Linked DNA regions of Arabidopsis thaliana. The protein of the gene in region 2 interacts with the protein of the main gene of each other region in a biochemical or structural test. Each region holds a gene or a part of one and is shown on either strand. Other genes may lie near its edges.

Region 1 (4,144 bases), on a different chromosome or scaffold from region 2:
ATAAAATTGACAACTAATTTATTTTACTTGTGTAAATTGAACTTAACCTGAAATTGGCAGTGAACCAACAAATCGACTAACTCGTTCTGCATGTTTACCTTTTATTTGTTTTTAGTAAATAATATCGTATTTGGCTGCGTCTACAGCGACTTGTATTCTAGCTTTAAACCTTTTTAAAAACTTGATATGGCTATTGGCTATAAGGATTTTCTTATAATAAATTGCTTGGAGATATGGGTGAGTGCAAACTCTTTCTTGACTTTTTACGTATAAATTTGTTAAAAACTAAGGAAGCACAGTTTAACTTTTATACGGAGATAATATAATGTAAGATATCAAAATTCATAATAAGATTTGAAAGGTCCATAATTAGTGATGGAACCTTCTTACGATGGACCCATTATCAAGTAAGAACCACTAATAATCTTTGGTTAGTTAGTATATATAATACGTTTTATGCCATTCGTTAAACGCATCCTACGTTCTTGCATGTCCCATGTCCATTCATCATGTGAGACGTGTCAAAGCGTTGATGTTTACCCAAATTTGCAGAAATTAATACAGTGAAACTAATTTACTATTTTTATTTTGGCTTGACGTGTTGAAATTGTTATTGAAAATACGAATTGTCTAAGGAAAAAATTGTCATTTTACTGTGCATGAGGAAATAGATAAGAATGGTGTGTATGAGTATGATTGGGAAAGTATTTGGAGTGACGAAAATACCAGGGATATGCAAATGAAGAAATAGTGTGGTTGAAAAAGATGAGACTGGTGTGCTGATCGTTGTAGTTGAAAATGTTACGTAAAAATATATTGTATGTAGTACTCTATGAAAGATTGAAAGGATATGAGCTATTGCATATATATTGTTAGGTTGTTTTGAAATATTGTTAGTTGAAAGAAATTTATAGAGCAAGTGACAAACGAGTAAATAGAAAAGCTTTGAGAAATCACGAAAAAACATTTGAATTGTGATAAGTGGTTGATTATAATGAAAAATATTGGTATAACACAAAATATGATAAATCCTAGTTTAATAAGAATTCCACCAAATGATTGGACGAGATATATGACTAAAGAAATTATAAGCTGCATTTAGTTTTGGTTTTGAACAACATTACAAAGTGTTAGGCGGCATTTGAGTTCTCAAAGTCACAATTTCCTTGATAAACCCATTACGTTACGATATTTGTGATACATCAATATAAAATAAACTAACCAATCAATGTATTATTATAATAAAAGAATTGCTAGTTGGACAAAAACAATGAGGATCAAATCAAAATTATATTACAAATAAAGTTTCCCTAGAGATGCTATTTGAAAGATACATTGAATGCGAGCTGTGCATATTAGTATATGCTTTTCATCAGTAGTACAGTAATTTAAATATTCGAACCAATAAAATGTTTTAAAATCTTAAGAAAAAAAAAGACAAATCAAGAAGTATCAAATGCTCTTCTTATGTCTTTATCACATTTGCAAAAAAAACGAGGAAAAAAAGGCGCGAATGGTTAGACAGTTGACAGCACGACCAACTTCCATTCTTTAAGAGTTTCTTTCTTTTTGGATTCTTTTCTCACATCCAAACCAAAATTGTAATAATAAAATACAAACTATTTAAATTTAAAAAATAGGGTTTTTTGATACGGAGGATTTTGTTCTCATCTTTTAAGTACTGAGGATTTTGTTGGACATTTTCTTACCTCCATTATTGGCAGAGAGAAACAAAGAAATAAAGAACAAAAGCAAATAACAGAGAATATGGATTTGGTTCAGAAGCAGAAGAGTTTGCAAGATTACACCAAATCACTCTTCTTAGAAGTAAGTTTTTCACATTTGAAAAGATCAAATAATCAGAAAACTTGTTTTAACGTTCACAACTTTTTCTTTCTGGTTTTAGGACTTGTAGTAAAAATGGTTTTAGGACTTATAGTAAAAATGTGTTAGGCTTTTGTAGTTTCTTTGGTAAGATAATCATGAGTTTAGGTTATGTAAAATTAGTTTCTGATTATGGAAAGTCTTTTGTTTTGGGTAAATACAAAAAAGGGGATTTTGGACAGCCAGTTCTTGCAGCTGCAACAACTACAAGATGAAAGCAATCCAGATTTTGTTTCACAAGTTGTCACACTCTTCTTCCAAGACTCTGATAGGATTCTCAATGATCTCTCACTTTCCCTGTAATCTTCTTTACACATTCTCTCTTTAATCTTTTTTTTTTTGTTCTTTTCCAAAACTTGTGTTTCTCACTGTTTTTTTATGCTTCGGGCAGAGATCAACAAGTTGTAGACTTTAAAAAAGTTGATCCCCATGTTCATCAACTCAAAGGTAGCAGCTCCAGGTAACAACAAAAACAAAACTGGCTATTTCTGATTTTAATCCAATGATAATGACATTTTCTTGATCTTGAAATGTGTAACAATATATATTGCCAAAAAATAACAGTATAGGAGCACAGAGAGTTAAGAATGCTTGTGTTGTCTTCCGCAGCTTCTGCGAGCAGCAAAATGTCGAAGCGTGAGTTTAATCGATATGTTCGTTGGTCCATTCGTTATTTCTTTGTTTTAAGATCTGATTAGGAAAATACATCGTTGAAAAATTTCAGATGTCATAGATGTTTGCAACAAGTGAAGCAAGAGTATTATCTTGTGAAAAACAGATTAGAGACTCTGTTCAAGGTAAAAAGTCAAAGAGACTTTTTTTTTTTTTATAAAACCACCCACATAACTCTTATCTAGTTATACAATATTTTGATCAACATTTGAAACTTATCTGATTCAATTTTGGTTTTGATGATCGAATCTATGCAGCTGGAGCAACAGATTGTAGCTTCTGGTGGAATGATCCCGGCCGTCGAACTCGGATTTTGAGTGAATTTCATAAACATCTCTGTCCATTGTTGTTTCATTTTGGACTCTCTCTTCTTCCTCTCTTTATGTGACTATCAAAAAAAGGTTCTTATGTGAACTTCTTTCTTTGTGCCATTGGAAGAGTGAGACATGCTAAAACGTTTCTTAATCCACATCTAAATCCCACATATGTAAAATAAGATCTCAAGCAAACATATAGTCATGAGTCATGACTACAATTATATAGAGTTTGATCAAGATAATGTACGCATCAAGGTAATGTGATCCGGACAACTTGGTTAGGTATTAGGTTGTTGTTTTACTGTAACTGTTAGAAGTAGTTAGAAGTCTTGTAGTCCTTGACCAAAGAACACAGATGGGCCATATGAATTTTAGTAGCCCAAGATGATAACAAAGGGCCCGTACTAAACATCCATGATGATCTTGGAAATCTTTTTTTTATTACGATTGCACTTCGACGAATCTCTAAAGATTTTCAGACATTTATACAATGCAATTAAGAAAAAAATAAAGTTATACTATGTGAGTGCACGTTAAATAATGTAGCTAAAAATAAAATAATGACAAAATTCTTAATTACTTACAGATCCGTGACCTGTCGTCGACTATATATGGCTCCAATTTATAACCTCATGTTCGATTTCTAGACTTCTAGTTTACCACTTATAACTTTGTATTGCTCTATACTCGTATTAATTAGTGCTCCATCTTTTTTATTTGAACTTTTTTGGGTAAAGAATGAGCGTTCCCTTCATCGTTTGTTCATAACTTTACTAGTTCCTTTAATTGTACCTTCTGTTTAATTTTGTTTTCAAGTGACCTTTTTGTCTTTTCAATAATAATTAAGATTTCCAGTTCGTAATTTCGTATGTATAATGAACCATACCATTAATTATGCAATATGACAAAAATATGATGTTTATATGTTCTTCCACCTTGTTATTATCGATTACAAATTTAAATAAGGATCATAGGGTAAATAACACTTTTTTTTTTTTGGTTATAATCAATATCTTATTCCTATTTTATTGTTTCAAACATGCATAGTATCCAAAGGGAAGCATGTTTTGGTGAAAATATATGCATAGAAGAAGAAGACTAATCAGTAATCAAGACAAGAGATAGGTTGAATAATTCCATTAAGTTTTCTCCTATCTGTAGTCTAAATCACTAGTTACAACTTTCAACACACATGAAACACATTATACATGCATCATTATTCATTAATGTGTTAGGTTACGCTACGTATATTTTGTGTAGATTTGAAAGTA
Region 2 (4,705 bases):
TTTTCATCGAGATCAACATGGCCTCATATTGATGGTGAAATTTTTGATACATAAAGCTAGAGAGCACAATTTGGAAGAGAATAATTACTAGCTCACAAAAAAGTCTAAGAATCAATAGGATAGGAGATATAACTCAGACAACATAAGAGTGATACCAAGGAAGGAGAAAGACCAATCTATGTTATCCAACAAATGCTTTGTAGATTAGATATGAGCTTATGTTGACATTAATCTGGATTTTCGGATTTGAGATTCAACTATATTTCCATGTACGTATAGACTAAAATTGAGTTTCTATATGATCCATTGATCCTGTAACAAAATCTAGACGTCAAAATGAAAATATTCAAGTGTACATGATTTTGAGTATTGTATAATTAGGTCAACTAATCAATTACTTTTATTTCTACAAATATATTATACTATGTAGAAAATATTTACAATAATGATTAGAATATAAAGATGCTCCAAACCTCAATCGAGTACCAACATAAAATTAATTAAAGGGAAAATGTCAATGTCTTTAATTTTGTAATTGATGTCCAAAGTTCCTAGAAAAAAGATAGATTACGATTTTATGTGCGACACGTTGATGACTACTTTTATGGATTTTTTTGTTCAACCCTCGATTTTGAGTTGACATCATGAAGATTTGATCCATCATTCGTTGGCCCATATCGTTTGAAAAATCAATTCTCAAATCAATCTTAAATTTCGCGTAATTATTTTATAAAAATGGGCAATATATCCATTGTAAGATTTGTCTATTTCACGCGTCATTTTTCTTTCTACTTTGTTAGATGTTTTTGGTTAATGTAGAAAAACGATTAAATTAGAGACACTATCAATTAGAAGAAACAAAAGTCTTTTGATAAAACTCTACTTTGATCATCCACGACTGTGATCGATAACTTCTAAGCAACCTTGAAACCTGATCTTTTGAGCTTTAACTTTAAGTAGGAAAATGTCATAGTATTGGATTTGGTCGTCTTTAGTTTACATTCAATCTGGAATAAATTTGTTTCTCTAGAAAAAATAAAGAGCCAAAGAATCATTATATATATTTATTGTTCTCATGTTTATATACCTATTTTTTCTTAATAGTAGCTCTTTATTATCAAGAGATTTTTAAAAACACCTATATTGTCATAACATTTTCATAAAATTTTTAAAAATAAAATAGAAAATCAAAACATTTACCCTTTCAACAAAAAGAAATAATAATGATATTTTATATAAAAAAATATAATAAATGGGTGGGAAAGAGAAAGCAAAAGCGATCTCCAAGATTTGATACGGTGTGGTGTCTAAAAGAGTGAAACAGCAAATTATGTTTGGAAGATTAAAGAAAAAAAAGAAGAAGAGAGGTAAAGTCCAATTCCCCCTTTCATTAATACAAATTGTTCCCAACAAAATATTTATGGGTCCCTCTTTTAGATTTCCCTGGGTCCCGCGGATCCAAATTTTAATGTGGACGTCAAATCCTTTTTTTTTATTATTATTTGTCCACTTTCCTCTTCTTCTTTTTTTTTTTTTTGCCATTTGAAAACGATATAAATAAAAGTGTTTGGATAACATAAAATTTCTAGAGTCATATGGATGGATATACTACTAGTTAGGCGTATACTAATTTTCTCGTCAACCCACAAAACCCGATCTTAATATTATTCTATGAATTGCATTTGAACCATAAATTTTAAATTAGAAACTGACCAATCACATGGAACAATATAAAATTGTCTTAGTGGTTAGTACTTAATACAAATAAGACCAATCCGAAGAACCGAGCCGGTTAAGTTTAAACACGCTACTATGAATTGTAATGGTGTATGACCAAAATTAGCTTCTTTAATCTTCTGGTTTATTATTCTTAACAGTGAGTGATTCCATTTTCAGTTTTTTTTTTCCAATCACACTAATGAGTAATGACGAGATTTTGACTAAGAAGTTGTATATATCTCACGATGGTATATTTTTATTTTTTGGATTCCTTTGTACGGATTTCTTCTCCTCTATTATTTATTCGATTTTAGGAATATTATTTTCTCTATGATATTCGCATAGGCCCTCCACCGGATTTTCCATAAAATCTCTATTTATTAATACTATTGTTTTCAAAGATAAAAGTTCAATTTTTTCAACCCTAAAAGCACGGCACATAAAAATATATAATTTTCACATTAATAGGAACCAAAGATTTTGTTGGATTTTCCTCGCTGGAGATTTTTCAAAATAAAAATTGAAAAAACCAAAAAGACACACTCATAAAAGATTTATTTTAGAGAACAAAAAAATCAGAAATATAAAAAACTGTCTTAAGGAAGAGAAAGGAACAAAAGAAAACAGATGTGAGCTCTTCTTCTTCGTCTTCTTCTCTCTATTTTATTCTCATCCTCTCCTCACAGTTACTATAAGCTCGTCTATGGCCAGAGACGGTGGTGTTTCTTGTTTACGAAGGTCGGAGATGATGAGCGTCGGTGGTATCGGAGGAATTGAATCTGCGCCGTTGGATTTAGATGAAGTTCATGTCTTAGCCGTTGATGACAGTCTCGTTGATCGTATTGTCATCGAGAGATTGCTTCGTATTACTTCCTGCAAAGGTTCGTATTTTTTCAAAAAAAAAAACATCTTTCACTTTTTTTTATTCCTCGCCGGAATATTTACATCTCCGGTGGTATCGTTTGTCAGTTACGGCGGTAGATAGTGGATGGCGTGCTCTGGAATTTCTAGGGTTAGATAATGAGAAAGCTTCTGCTGAATTCGATGTAAGTTATTGAAATCTGATACAGCTTTTTGTTTTTTTTGAAGATTACGATTCGTGAGTTTGATTTAGTTTAAATGGATATTTTCAGAGATTGAAAGTTGATTTGATCATCACTGATTACTGTATGCCTGGAATGACTGGTTATGAGCTTCTCAAGAAGATTAAGGTCTGCATTTTCCCGCCATTTTCCTGTTTCAGATTACGGTTGTTTTAGTAACAATGTTGAATTTTCCGGTCATCTGAAACAGGAATCGTCCAATTTCAGAGAAGTTCCGGTTGTAATCATGTCGTCGGAGAATGTATTGACCAGAATCGACAGGTGTGATTCTTGTTGATTTCTTCACAGATTTTGGAGTTTTTAGAAACTGTTGATTGATTTGATAAAATTTTGTAAAAAAAAAAAATGATTTTTGAACAGATGCCTTGAGGAAGGTGCTCAAGATTTCTTATTGAAACCGGTGAAACTCGCCGACGTGAAACGTCTGAGAAGTCATTTAACTAAAGACGTTAAACTTTCCAACGGAAACAAACGGAAGCTTCCGGAAGATTCTAGTTCCGTTAACTCTTCGCTTCCTCCACCGTCACCTCCGTTGACTATCTCGCCTGAATCGTCGCCGCCGTTGACTGTTTCGACTGAATCGTCGGATTCGTCTCCGCCGTTATCTCCGGTGGAGATCTTTTCCACCTCGCCACTTTCATCTCCGATAGACGATGAAGATGATGACGTGTTGACGTCGTCGTCGGAGGAATCGCCGATTCGACGGCAGAAGATGAGGAGTCCCGGATTAGATTAGTGGAACTATTCTGGGATGCCGTGTAATATTATCTATCTCCGTTAACTTCGTTTTTACCTCTGACGGTGTTTTTAATTGCACGTTGACTTGACGCCGTCAAATTTTATAGATGTCCCTTTAATCTCTCGCGCCTCCACGTGGGCCTTTTTTCCTTTTCCTTAAAGCTTTTCGAATATCTTTTAATTATTTTAATTTCTGCACAAAGTTACGTTTTTAACTTTTTTAGTCTTTAAACAAAGGGAAAATTGCAATCGAACCTTCGACATTCACCATTTATTATGATAACGAGACTTGAATATGCGTTTTTTTCTTATGTATTGGGTCCTAAATAAGTCAATATCATAGACATATGGGGTTTTATAATCAGAAAGTTAGCTAGATCTGACAATTCAAGAATCAGAGAGCTAAGGTTTTTTTTTCCAGATACAAATCAACTAGTAACATTTGAATCCACTATAGTCATTAAACAGTTCCATAAATATATATCAGTTTTATGACCCAAAATACTCCTATTAATGACTATAAGCCGATGCTCTAATTTTTTTGGCTAAATTATAAATATTTCATAGATAATGAAAACAATTTAGGTTACAAACATAAAATTTGAAACTTATACATATGAATTTATAGTAAAAAAGAATAAAAATATAAATGCATAAAAGGCGGTTAATTAAAACCAAATTTTGGGTCCATTTTTCAACCTTGCAATGAAGCTAAGGGAATAGATGAAACGATGACGTTCAATTCTATCCTTCCCAAAAGAGATGCACAAGCCGATGCTCTAATGCAACTTTGAATATACATATTTAACCCAAGAAAAAAATGCTTATAATATACGACGAAGTAGTGGATGCATCATTATGCATGTGTAGATGTGTAGAGAGTAAGCAAGAAAATAAAAAGAAGAAAGAAGGAAGAGGAAGAAAGAATAAATGCAAAGCTGGAAATGGGCAACTCTTGTTCCCTTCCTTTGGGGCATATTTCTCCATAAATAGTCTCTATAGATCCCTTGTCTCTGGCACCCATTTTGGTGTTTCTTTTTTTATGGTCATGTGTTTTTACCATTTGGATCCAAGTAAGATCTTCACATTAGAAACCACGACCAATATAATTAAGCTTGGGATAGCTTTAACTTTTGTATATATGT
Region 3 (7,127 bases), on a different chromosome or scaffold from region 2:
AACAAGCAATATGCTTAAACCAAGAAAGAGAGATATTGACATAACCAAAAGTGTACTAGAAACCATTATAAGTTTTGAAGGTTTTAGGTGGGTTTAAGGGTTTGAATTGGGTTTGAGACATTTAGAAGGCTATTGATTGGTGAGTATTTATAGAGCATATATAATGGAGTTTTGATTCCTTAATGATTAGTTATATATTGTTAATATTTCAGTCTTTGAGCTTTACTTTAATTTTCTTTAAGAAAAAAGGTGAGTTTAGTGTGGGTAATGTGAAAAACGAAACAGCCTGGAGAGCATACACATCAAAACTATAGTGCGATACATCATAAACATTAAATTAACTATTGTTAATGTGTTACATCCTAAGCTTAGCCAGCCTAATTTAAACATCTCACTTTTTATATATATAGTGGAGTTTGTAAAATTTCAACTTTTTGGACGGTACCATTTCATCATAAATCTTTTAAAATTAATGTGATTGGCCTTTACCTCTTGATTGCGTAGACAGACTAATTGGATATAATATGATTTATAAATGGTTAACAATCAAATAATAATTTTGAATTGATGTAACGAGTAACAAATTAAAAGGATTGGTCATCGATTAATATGCTCTCTTCTTATCTCATTGTTTTGTTTCTCTCGGAGTTGTCAATTTACACAGCACAAACAAAAGTCTTGAAATTCTCTACAACTACTGTTACGTTTTTTTTCCGGCGAGCTGAGCTGAACGCAAATAATCTCCCTCTTCTCTACTAATCTCACCGGAAACAAAAAAAAAACTTTCTATCCTCCTCCGACGTCGTTAGACACACAAACACTCATACAATGATACAAACTCTCATACCAACTGAAGTGTGACTAATATGGCATCATCAGCATCATGTCACCACTTCCACTAGCAGTTGACAATGGTCGCTTTCGAGGTACAGGGAGTTCCAGAATGATGAGGAAATAGGACCGTTCTGATTCTCGGATGTATTGAACCTCACCGTTCATTAGCTTTAAAATCTTTCGACATACGCTTAGACCTAAACCTTCAGGGCTTGTCCACCTGCTGCTATGGAACATGTCTCGGACTAGCTCTGGAGGCAGACCTTCACCTGGACACGCCATTCTGCAAACAACGAATAAAGACATAACAAAGACACCAACACATGAAACCCAAGTTTTACACTTTTGAGCTGGTTTTCATCAATTTGAAAACATTACATTCCTTGACTGCTAATTCTAGGCCTATGGATGTGTCTAAAAGTTCCCAAGTCGACTAAACCGAATACAAAAATCAAACTAATCTAGGTTCCAACTAAACAATAACCAAAACAAATAGTGAATTGGTTAAAACCTCAAATTCTTTAAACGCCTAAATCAAATTCGTAATTAACCAAACCAAATTCATTTTCTTTATGTACAAAATAAGGAACCAAAAAAACCGGATTGCATAATTTTGGTTATGGATATGTGGAGACAACAGCGGGAACAATGAAATGTACCTGAATTCTGTGCGGATGGCGGCGAATCCATCAGCCATTTGCTTTGAAAGTTGGCTTAAATGGATCTCCACCCACTCTTGAGATGGTGCATACCGGATTATACTCAGCAGAAACTCAGCCAGGAGCTGTTGAATCCTTATCTGGTCTCCAAAAACCTCTATTGATTTGATCTCTTCGGGAATGTCACGGATCAGCTGAAGACCTCTGTCCCTTAATAAGAACATCGCTTGACTTACAATCGCGTTTATGACACTTCCAAGGAAAAACTCTTCCCTCTTTAGCACAAATGAACTGATCAATGAAAAAAACAAAATTTGGGATTTGGTCACATTTTGTGAAGTAAGCAAAACTAGCTTCTAGATAAATTCTAACTATACTCACCCGTCTTCAATGCTTTCAAGATCCATGTCCCCGACGATCCTTGAGATCTGTTTCTCGCAAGAAACACTTGTTTCAAGTAACTGCTTCTGGTCCTCGTTCAAGTCTGTGGCCTCCAACAATGAGTTTGCGAAACGCATACCGCTCAAAGGATTCTTTATCACCTGACAAATATAAGCCAACTCTTTTGCCTTCGTGAAACACTCTGTGTCCTGCCTCCGTTGGACTGCTAAAGCTTGCTGCAGCTCAGGGCTCGGGATTTGCAAGAAACAGAAAGCCCCAATAACCTTTCCCTCGAGGCTAACCCGCTTGTTTGCAGTCAATAGAGCCTGAACAAACTTCCCATTGCGGTCAAAGAATGGGAAAGGGAACTTATCCGTATCTTGGCCACCAATCGCATTATGCAATACAATCATGAACTTGGTTAAAGCATCAGGACCCTTTAGCATGCAACAGCTCCCAAACACTTCCCCGACAATCATTTTCCCAATCACTTCACTGCGAGACCAACCCGTAAGCTTTTCCATCGCCATGTTCCATTCCAGGCAGCACGTGTTCTCGTCAGCAGCAAAAATTGGCGGGATTAGAGGGTTTGGGCTATGTACAATAGCCTTGTAATCTCCTTGTATGTTGATGAACTTATCCATTACGATTTTCTGACTAGTAACGTCTTGTCCAACAAAACAAACGCCGACAATGTTGTTCAAGTAGTCCTTGCTGGAACAAGCATTCACAACCACAAAAACTGCTTTCCCTTGTAGTTCGGGGCTGAAAGTTTTCAGCTTAACCTCCACATTCTTTTCCTCGTCCCCTGCATTGCCAAATGCAACAAAATAATCAAATACCCGCGAATTGGTATATACACCGCAGATACAACATAGCTGAAGAACTGAATATACCTCTCAAAGCACGAGAAAGAAGCTTATTGACAGTTGCTTCATTCTCTTTGTATATTAAATCAGAAACCAGAGACTTCCCCATAGCTTCTTCAACTGAGAGACCTGTCAACTCTGCAATCTTAGCGTTCCATCCATTGATGCAGCCTCCGGCATCCACAGCGAATATAGGAACAGTTGCAGTCTCAATGAGCCTAACCATCTCTCTTGCAACTGCACCTAACTCATCAATCCCCTGTTCCCCCGCCATATCCCTACATGGCTGAACCACACCATCCACAACTTTAGAGTTCATAGCCGCCTCAGATTCTTTAAAAGAGTCTCTCAGAATAAGCTGGAGCGAGTGAATCGCATCCATTTCCGCAGTTTCCCATGGCTGACTCCGGCTCTTAACAACTTCAAGAAAAGCCTGAAAGGACGAACGAGGATGCATTCGTTGCCCATCATCTTTATCCTCCGGATGATGCTTAGCGCCTCCCCATTTGATTTCTTTCGCAGTGTGAGATCGAAACCAAAAAAGAAAGTCTCTTTTTGTGATATATGCAACTGCCATACCGCACACAGCATCCCCTAACGCAGCTGCACCGGGATACCCCGCATCGCCTAAACTATCAGTGCTTAATCCGGTTGAATCCGCATGATTCGCAAGCAACCACTCCACAACATCTTTTATCTGAACTTCACTAGGAGCAACACCCAACGGGTAATACTTCCCGTGGTAAAGAAATGCTGCACCGTCACATTTCACTAAGTCCATGATACTGGGACTCTGTGTAACAATTCCAGCAGGCGAGTCACGCAGAAGCATATCACATAACAGTGTCTGCGTTCTCAAAACGCGTTTCTCTGACATTTGCAAAGCTAACTGCAATTCCATGTTTAACTGTAAACCGAAAGCCTGCATCAAAAACTCACAAGCATACCTTAGCGGAAACGGTATGCAGCGAGAAGAAGTGTGATGGCAAACAACCAAACCCCAAAGCCTCATCGAGCTTCTTCCACTAGCTACATTGCTCCCATCATCTTCATTTCCATTGATTATAACCGCCATTGCTAAAGACGCAATAGATCCCATGTTAGCCATATACTGAGAGTGACAACCATGAGGAGCCCTAAGAGTAGAACCAACCAAGCACATAGACTGAGTTAGCCTATCGTCCTGGACCACAAGAACAGGTGTGGCATTGCAATCTACTATCATTCGGACACGGTTCTGCTTAAACAAGAACCTTGACGCTTGAGGAATATCAGTAGCAGGATAATGCAGTCCAATATAAGGCTCTAAATCATCTCGTTTACTCTCAGCTACAACTTCTCCATGCTCATCTTCATGAAACTTATAAACCATAACACGATCATAACCAGTCAAGTCCCTCACACTTTCCACGACAGTGTCACACAAAAGCTTAATATCTCCACCAGGAAGAGCCTGTAACTGAGAAATCGCACGAACCGCGAGTTTCTGCGATTGAACAGCACCAGCAATAGAAAGCGCAGGATCTTCAGTTCTAGCTGGCTCTAAATCAATAACAACACCAACATCAATCCTATGAAGAATGGCGTAAAACGGTTTACCAGTATTCTTGGAATGGATCCAAACCGGATTTAACAAGGTAATCTCTCGAGCAACGAAAGCACGCTCGAGTAGAATCGAGCTCGAAGAAGTGAACAAAGATCTCACATCAGTTCCCATAGCTAGAATCTCAGGTTTCTCAAGAGTAGGAACAGATTGAGGCATAATCCCTAACATTTCTCTGGCGTTTTCACTGTAACCGATGATCCGGAAACTGGATTCATCGACGGCGATCATACATCCGAAAGGCTGAATGTAACCACCTCGCTGGATTCGAGAGAGATAAGCTGTGATCTGTTGCTCAGGTACAGAGGAACCGTACGTCGTCGTTTTGAGTGATTGTGAGTAGTCGAATGATTTCCCTGATTCGCCGGATTGTTCGAAAACGGCGTGGAGTCTTGCGTCGACGGTGTACTGTTGAATTGCTTTGCTCATTGATTCAGTGTTGCTTCTTGGTCTGAGAGATTTCGTTCCCGACGATTGAGCTTGTTCTCCTCCTCTTCGGTTATTAGGAGTGTGACTTGACGACGGTTCTTCTTCTCCGCCACGGCCACCGCCACGGCCACCGCCACTACCCCCGACTCCGGAAACCATGCCGTTTGATTTTGAATTTGAGAAATTTCTCAGAATTACCTTGAGACAAGGAAGGATTTAGGGTGAATCATCATCCACTAGTTATCGGAGACGAATTCTGGTAGAGCTAAATTCTCAAGAATTTTGAACTTGAGGAAGAAGAAAATGGGGAGAATTGAGATCGGAGATAAGTGGAGAAACCAATAAAATAAATTGAAGAAGACGAAGCAAAATGTGTGCCTCTCAGATAGAGAGAGATAACAAAAAAAAATCAGAGTTTTTTTTTTTTTTGTCGTCTTCGCTTTTTGTTTCCTCATATATTTTCTGCGACTTTTTTTGTGTGGCGATTTTAGCAAATTACCTTTAAAGTTTTGATATTTATCAATTTAACCCAGAAGAGCTTTTGTTTTGTCGTTTAATGTGAGGGAGAGATTGATTGGGCCCAAGATCACGTGGGCTAATGGTTTATTCTCTCTAGTGGCCACACGTGGTTGCTGGGCCCATTGCGCGTGGGAGGGAGCCCCTGGACTTGTCGAATCGCATCATCAATTACGATTTCGAATTCGTACTATACAAGTTTGGTTTCTTCAATATCTTATCGTGGGTCAAGTCAACCAAGTGGTGTCCTCTCTATACAAATATTGAAATGTTTTATACTCTCATCGTACGTATATACTTCTCATAATTTGTACTAGATAGAATATAGAATCACATATTGGTCTCAAAGGGGTTCGAAGTAGTATTAGCACGCTCCATGCGGAATAGAATCATAAATTTTGCATAGTAAACTCGTCTAATACATAAGATATATTTTGGTCCACTTTGATATATACGTTGGATCTATATCATTACATTTTGTATAATACATGCATTGTACTACTTAGCATTACGTTTTATTGAATATATGCAATTCTTTTTTGACATATTAATGATTCTAAATTTGGATTATTTGGTGAAAGCATACAATTATGGTGCTTCGAAAAAAGAACATAAAATAAATTAAAGTAATGATAAAGAGGAAAAAAAGAGAGCAGAAAAACATATAAATGAGAAAAATCGTGTGCATGAAAAGTTAAGGGTCCATTACATAAATGATTTTGGGCCGCTCACAGTTTCATGTTAAGTCACTGCGTTCGTCCTTTTCTTTTGTTGAATGACTAATTTCTCCATCTCGTGTTGTTTGTTTTCAAAGCTCTATCATAATAAGTTAAGTATAACCGACCACTTTTTCTTTTTAACACTATTACATATATAAACATCCATGTTACCATGTATGAAGACAAAAACGATTATCTTATATACCCATAAAATATTATGGACCAAAAGTGAATAGTGAAAAGAAAACAGAAAAAAATTGGAATGACAAAAGAAAAACACACTATTCGTTGACAAAACAAAAGTTTAAATGTTTATTAGTGAGTAATGACCTCATATGTTTTGGTCTTATCTTGGACGAGATATGATTGGATGTCCACGAATTTAATCATGTACCTGTTCGCACTAGAGTGTACTAGTTCGTTGGCTAAGAATCGTCCACGTACAATAGTTTTAAACCACCAGTAATTTACCACGTGCCACTGAAATCAAATTAGCTAATAAACTACTCAATTACCAAATCACCCTTATAAACTCTCAATGATTCTTTAGGCTTGGCTGCTAATTTCTTAAAACTTTTGCATAACTTTTGCATAAATAAGAATAAGACAAAAGATGAAATTAATATAAGGGTACAATCGTAATTCAAGAATTTCCAAAATTCGTTCTTTAGTATAACGAAGAACTAGCTAGACATTATTAGGCATTGGGGCATACTTTAAAGCCCAAAACTAAGCCCTCCCATACTAATAAATCAGGAGCCCAAATTGGAAAAAACGACTTTAATAGCCTTTGGGTAATACTTTAAAGCCCAAGCCCAATTTAGAAACATCTAACATTTCTGAAGTGTTCGTTCTCTCATAATCTCTGAAGAAATCAGAGTAAAAGGTAAAGTAAAATTTCTTCGATATGCAAAAACAATCAACGACGATGCTCTCGGATCTTCCAAAGGATGTGGCGGAGGAGGTGCTCTCGAAGTTTCCAGTGACATCTCTGAGAAGAGTACGATTCACATGCAAAAAGTTGAACACTTTATCCAAAGATATGTCTTTTACAAGGAAGCACATCGATAAAGAAGAAGCAAAGAAGAAGCAGAGTAAGGAGTTTCATGTTGTGATG
Region 4 (4,579 bases), on a different chromosome or scaffold from region 2:
CGCTAACAACGCGTTCTGCACATACTTATCCCTACCAAACCAACTCCTCAAGATCCTCCCATGAACAACCAACCCCAATTTCATCGATTTCAATTCTCCAGCAGCTTTAGCAACAAAAGGGTATGTATAACCATCCGGAACACACTTAACCCCCTCACTAACCATCCTAATAAACACGCTAATCGCATCGTGATACAATCCTTCACGCACGTACATTCTAATAACAATGTTATAAGAAAGCAAAGAGCTTTGAGGCATTTCCTCGAACAGCTTCCGTGCATAAGTGATGTGACCACATAACGCATAAGTTACGGAGAGAGTCGAGAGAATGTGGCCGGAAACTCGACCGCCGGTGATGACGTGGCAGTGTAAAGCTTTGGTTTTTGAAATTGATTGAGTAGCTGCAAAGTGATTCAAGAGAGATTGGTATTGCTTGACGCTACTAAGTGCGTTGTTGGCTCTGCGCAAAACTTCACTCATTTAAAGAAAAAAACGACTGTTGAAAAATCTATTGGGTCGCAATTTTTTAAAAGCAACGACATATCTAACCAAACTGCGTGACGTTTGTATTTTACAGTGAGAAATGCTTGACGTTTTCTTATTTTACAGTAAGAACTGCGTGACGTTTGTATTTGACAGTGAGACTGCGTTGACGTTTTGTATTTCACAGTGAGAACTGCGTGACGTTTTCTTTCTTAACATTAGCTGATGGGTTTAACTTTAGGTTTCAGCTTTCACAGGGGACACTTGTGAGTGTTTGTTCTTGGTTTGTTCCTTTTGCCAATGTCTTCGTGAAGCTTTTTGCTTTCAGAGTCTATTCTTTTGCGCGTTGTCTTGTGTAGCTCTCCTTGAATTTTCTGCTTCTTATGATGCTTCTGTGTCTGGAAATATTCCTGTTTTTGAATACATAACTCACTCTTGTTCATATGGTCTTATGAGATGCAAATTCATACTATTCAGATAAGATCAGTACCAAGATTCAAGAGATGATGATACAAAAGATACATAGTATTGATCTATGAACAACAATCACCTCTCTTTTCCACACATTCTCAAGAGTTTTTTTTCTTTTTCGAAGCAACAAATTCGAGTAGTACTCGTCTGAAGAATGCAACTGGATGATCATCATCTTGCTGTTCTGTTGTCGATAGGTCTATTGTTTATATATCCACTTGAGGGATTCTACCACCAGCTTGGACAATCTGTTGCTCAAGCTGCAACAAAACAATGCAAGACTTATTCACGAAATTCGAAAGCAAAAAACCGACACAATTCACGTAGCTTTTCACTCACATTGAACAGATCTTGAAGCTTTGCTTTTAATGTCTTGTACTCAATATCCACTTGCTGCAAACATCTCACACACCTATAACAGAGATTGTTTCCCAAATTAGTTTCAACAATCAAATGAACATAGCAGAAATTTGAGATTCTCTTAAAGAAGAACCGGAAAACAAAAGCTTACCCTTCATAGTTCTGAGAGTCGCAACACTCCTTGAGGGTAACACAAAGACCTTTGACTCTCTTGGCACCAACACTTCATAGAACAACAAGAAAGGAGCTCTTCACTGAGACTAGATCCGAGATTAGACTAAAGGACCGAGACTATACAGATCAAATGTGACATACCTTGAGCTACTACCTTTGAGTTGATGAACACTAGAACCTACCAGTTTGAAATCTACATTTCCTGTCTGATCTCTGAGTATACATATGAACCAATCATTAAACCATATCTGCTAGCTTTTGATGATTAAACTCGTAAAAGAAAAGTAAACTTACAAAGCTCTAGCCATATTACTGATAAGCTTCTCACAGTCTTCAAAGAAGAGAGTAACAACCTCAGCCACAAAATCAGGACTACATTCATCTTGCAGCTTTTTCAATTCTGTGAATTGATCATCCAAAAACCCCTTTACAAAACCAACACAAAGAATCTCAGAAACCCATTTCACAAAATTCCCAATTCCAAATACAAGCTCCAAGTACCCTAAAAACAGTAGAGAGTAGTCATCCCTAAAAAGAAGACAACTTTGAAAAAGAGACAATAACCCATTTCACAGACCCTAAACCCAATTCCCAAAATCCCCAATTGCCATATACAAGCTTCAATAAGAACCCTAAAAACGTAACCACAAATTCAAAGTTTGCTTCACCAGAAAAGTAATCACTTTGAAAGGAGACGACTTTGAAAATGGAGACAATAACCCATTTCACAATCAGTAAACCTAACTCTTAAATCCCCAGTTTCCAATTTAAAAGCTTCAATAAGAACCCTAAAGACTGTGGAGAGCCATCTCTAAAAAGGAGACTTTAAAACTCAACCACAATTTCTAAGTTCTCTTCACAAGAAAGTTAATCACTTTTATCCTGAATCTCTAAGGAGAGATGCTAAAATTTACCTGGTGATAGAGACTAATGGTGAAATCACAAAATCGTCTCTGTAACTGAGCAATGAGTGTGTCCATGGCTCTCTCTACTCGTCGTGAAGGCAAAAGCAGAGAGAAGAAGAAGATGTAAAGTTTGTTTGAAATTGCAATCCCAATAAAGAGATTCTTACAGATCATCAAATTTGGACAGAAATAAATAAAGAAATAGTCACAAAGCTTTTCCATAAAGGGCAGAGAAAAAGAATTAGAATATGATTAGTTGTCAAAAAGACAACTTTTACAAGTGAGAAACATTGATTTAGGCCATAAAAAATGGAATCTCTAATTCATGATTGATACATTCATTCATTCACTCAAAGTTTTTAGCATTTTCCAATGTTAGGTATGTTTCTGTTATGTCAATCCACCAACACTAAGAATCTCTCACGCTGGAAGATTCTCTATAGACAAGTTCATTTGAAGCATTACCGTGTGGACAAGACTGAAGAACATTGGTTCTATTCTTTTGACATGAGCTTCAGAGAATCATATACTCTCATCAACTTGACCTCATGAAAACAACTTATAGTGGCAGATTTTGCTGTTTATGACAAACTAAAGGGTTTTTTGCACTAATATTAAGTTGTTTGGTAACATACTTATTAATATTATATCGTAGAGGCATTTAGAGTTCTTTCTTACCAAAATACTCTACCTTCTTTTTTTTTGCTATAACAGATTTTGATATTGGACTTGTTTTTTCGGCTGTTTAGATCTTTTTTTGTTTGAGTGAAATGTTTTATTTTTCAATTTGTTGGAAACAACTAATATGATCGCGAGTGTCATTTTGAGAGTTGCGGAGGCAGCGAGCTGGCTATATAGTAAGGTCAAAGGAGGTAAATCTGGCTTTATTCGGTAACACATCTAAGTTTAGACATCGAAAGCAAGAACTTTTGTTTAGAGGCATTCACATTTAAACTAGGAAACTTTGGGTGAGAAGTCCACACGTCTTGGCTATATATGAATTGCTAAGCTGAAGCAATATGAGGTGTTACATACCTCCTGCAAAATTAAGGTCTATATAATATAACTAGAGCCACCCCAAGCAAAATTAAACAATGGTTGTTAGCGCCAACAAATTTGTAAGGTTTATTTAGAAAATATTAGCATATATAAATGGTATAACTTATGGTGAAAGATTCATATATATGCTTAGGATAGTATATAATGATTAAGAAAACAAAGTGTAAAATTATAAGTGTTAAATCTTGGTGACCTGAGTTGAGTTGAGAATTGAGTTGTGAGATTAATACCAAAGAAAAAAGTGACCTGACTTGGATCTTAAAATCTTTCTCTTTTTTTGATGAGACGGATCTTAACATCTCTCTCGTTTATTGGTAAGGATCTTAACTACTCTCTTTAATTTAGTAAATATTAATTTAAAGAGATCTAAATGTCCCAAAATCTTAATAAAATTATAAAAAACTCCAAAAAAGAACATTCGGTCCGTGTGTAGCTATGTTCGGATTAAACGTTTTTAATAGGTAGGTATTGGATCACCCCATGCTTAGCAAATTTTTAAACACTAGATATATATATACAAATTTACTATCACAACACAAAAGATAAAGATCCACCTTTGGGAGGGCAGACCATGCACCACACCATTAATTAGAGATCTTGCATGCATATTGATCTCATAGATGCAACATTTGTGGAGAATGAAAATACCATCCCAAAAATTGAATATCATGGAGGAAAATAATTGCAACTTGTCCGTCAAGGATAAATGCCTCGTGTAGAAATCATCATAACACCACGTACAACTCCATGATATTGCTCTAGAACATATCTATTGTTCGTAAAGAGAGAGAATTAAGAATGTTCAACACTTAACATCTAGAAGAAATATATTCCATTAATTAATTTATAGGAATTTAATTTAGGTAAAGCAAGTCCATATCAAAACGCAAAAGAATTTAGAAAGTCCATCATTTGACAAACTAAAGAACAAACTATTGATGAAAAGTACTTAGCGAAGATAGCGGCAAATAGGGTGGTCTCCAAACAAAGTTGCATTCCTTTGAGAGCCAGGCTCGAACCTTAACATGGCTTCATCACACGCATAGTTCATCTTTCCACTTGTCCCATATCTACAATCCGGAAGAAGCAATCGCGATCGGAACCTTATTTCACCTTTTTCCTTGATA

Evidence for each region.
Region 1: the proteins of ARR4 (region 2) and AHP1 form a complex in vitro, tested with the Arabidopsis thaliana proteins (2 studies listed by BioGRID, with this or other methods).
Region 3: the proteins of ARR4 (region 2) and PHYB form a complex in vitro, tested with the Arabidopsis thaliana proteins (one study listed by BioGRID).
Region 4: the proteins of ARR4 (region 2) and AHP3 form a complex in vitro, tested with the Arabidopsis thaliana proteins (one study listed by BioGRID).

The regions. Positions count from the first base shown.
Region 1 is NC_003074.8:7,577,161-7,581,304, reverse strand, and holds AHP1 (histidine-containing phosphotransmitter 1), read left to right. Parts: upstream 1-1,515; 5' UTR 1,516-1,767; coding exon 1,768-1,827; intron 1,828-2,052; coding exon 2,053-2,183; intron 2,184-2,275; coding exon 2,276-2,344; intron 2,345-2,448; coding exon 2,449-2,520; intron 2,521-2,608; coding exon 2,609-2,681; intron 2,682-2,813; coding exon 2,814-2,873; 3' UTR 2,874-3,593; downstream 3,594-4,144. UniProt on the Arabidopsis thaliana protein: Functions as a two-component phosphorelay mediators between cytokinin sensor histidine kinases and response regulator (B-type ARRs). Plays an important role in propagating cytokinin signal transduction through the multistep His-to-Asp phosphorelay.
Region 2 is NC_003070.9:3,441,477-3,446,181, reverse strand, and holds ARR4 (response regulator 4), read left to right. Parts: upstream 1-1,821; 5' UTR 1,822-2,422; coding exon 2,423-2,600; intron 2,601-2,688; coding exon 2,689-2,765; intron 2,766-2,852; coding exon 2,853-2,930; coding exon of another isoform or gene 2,931-3,012; coding exon 3,013-3,083; intron 3,084-3,182; coding exon 3,183-3,558; 3' UTR 3,559-4,194; downstream 4,195-4,705.
Region 3 is NC_003071.7:8,137,886-8,145,012, reverse strand, and holds PHYB (phytochrome B), read right to left. Parts: upstream 5,251-7,127; 5' UTR 4,935-5,250; coding exon 2,771-4,934; intron 2,683-2,770; coding exon 1,875-2,682; intron 1,785-1,874; coding exon 1,494-1,784; coding exon of another isoform or gene 1,364-1,493; exon of another isoform or gene 1,118-1,363; coding exon 862-1,117; 3' UTR 552-861; downstream 1-551. Other genes in the region: XTH21 (xyloglucan endotransglucosylase/hydrolase 21), read right to left, coding at 1-66; AT2G18780 (F-box and associated interaction domains-containing protein), read left to right, coding at 6,918-7,127. UniProt on the Arabidopsis thaliana protein: Regulatory photoreceptor which exists in two forms that are reversibly interconvertible by light: the Pr form that absorbs maximally in the red region of the spectrum and the Pfr form that absorbs maximally in the far-red region.
Region 4 is NC_003076.8:15,746,830-15,751,408, reverse strand, and holds AHP3 (histidine-containing phosphotransmitter 3), read right to left. Parts: upstream 2,679-4,579; 5' UTR 2,616-2,678; coding exon 2,403-2,615; intron 1,914-2,402; coding exon 1,783-1,913; intron 1,702-1,782; coding exon 1,630-1,701; intron 1,538-1,629; coding exon 1,466-1,537; intron 1,367-1,465; coding exon 1,294-1,366; intron 1,215-1,293; coding exon 1,161-1,214; 3' UTR 518-1,160; downstream 1-517. Other genes in the region: AT5G39350 (Tetratricopeptide repeat (TPR)-like superfamily protein), read right to left, coding at 1-480; AT5G39330 (transmembrane protein, putative (DUF1163)), read right to left, coding at 4,402-4,579.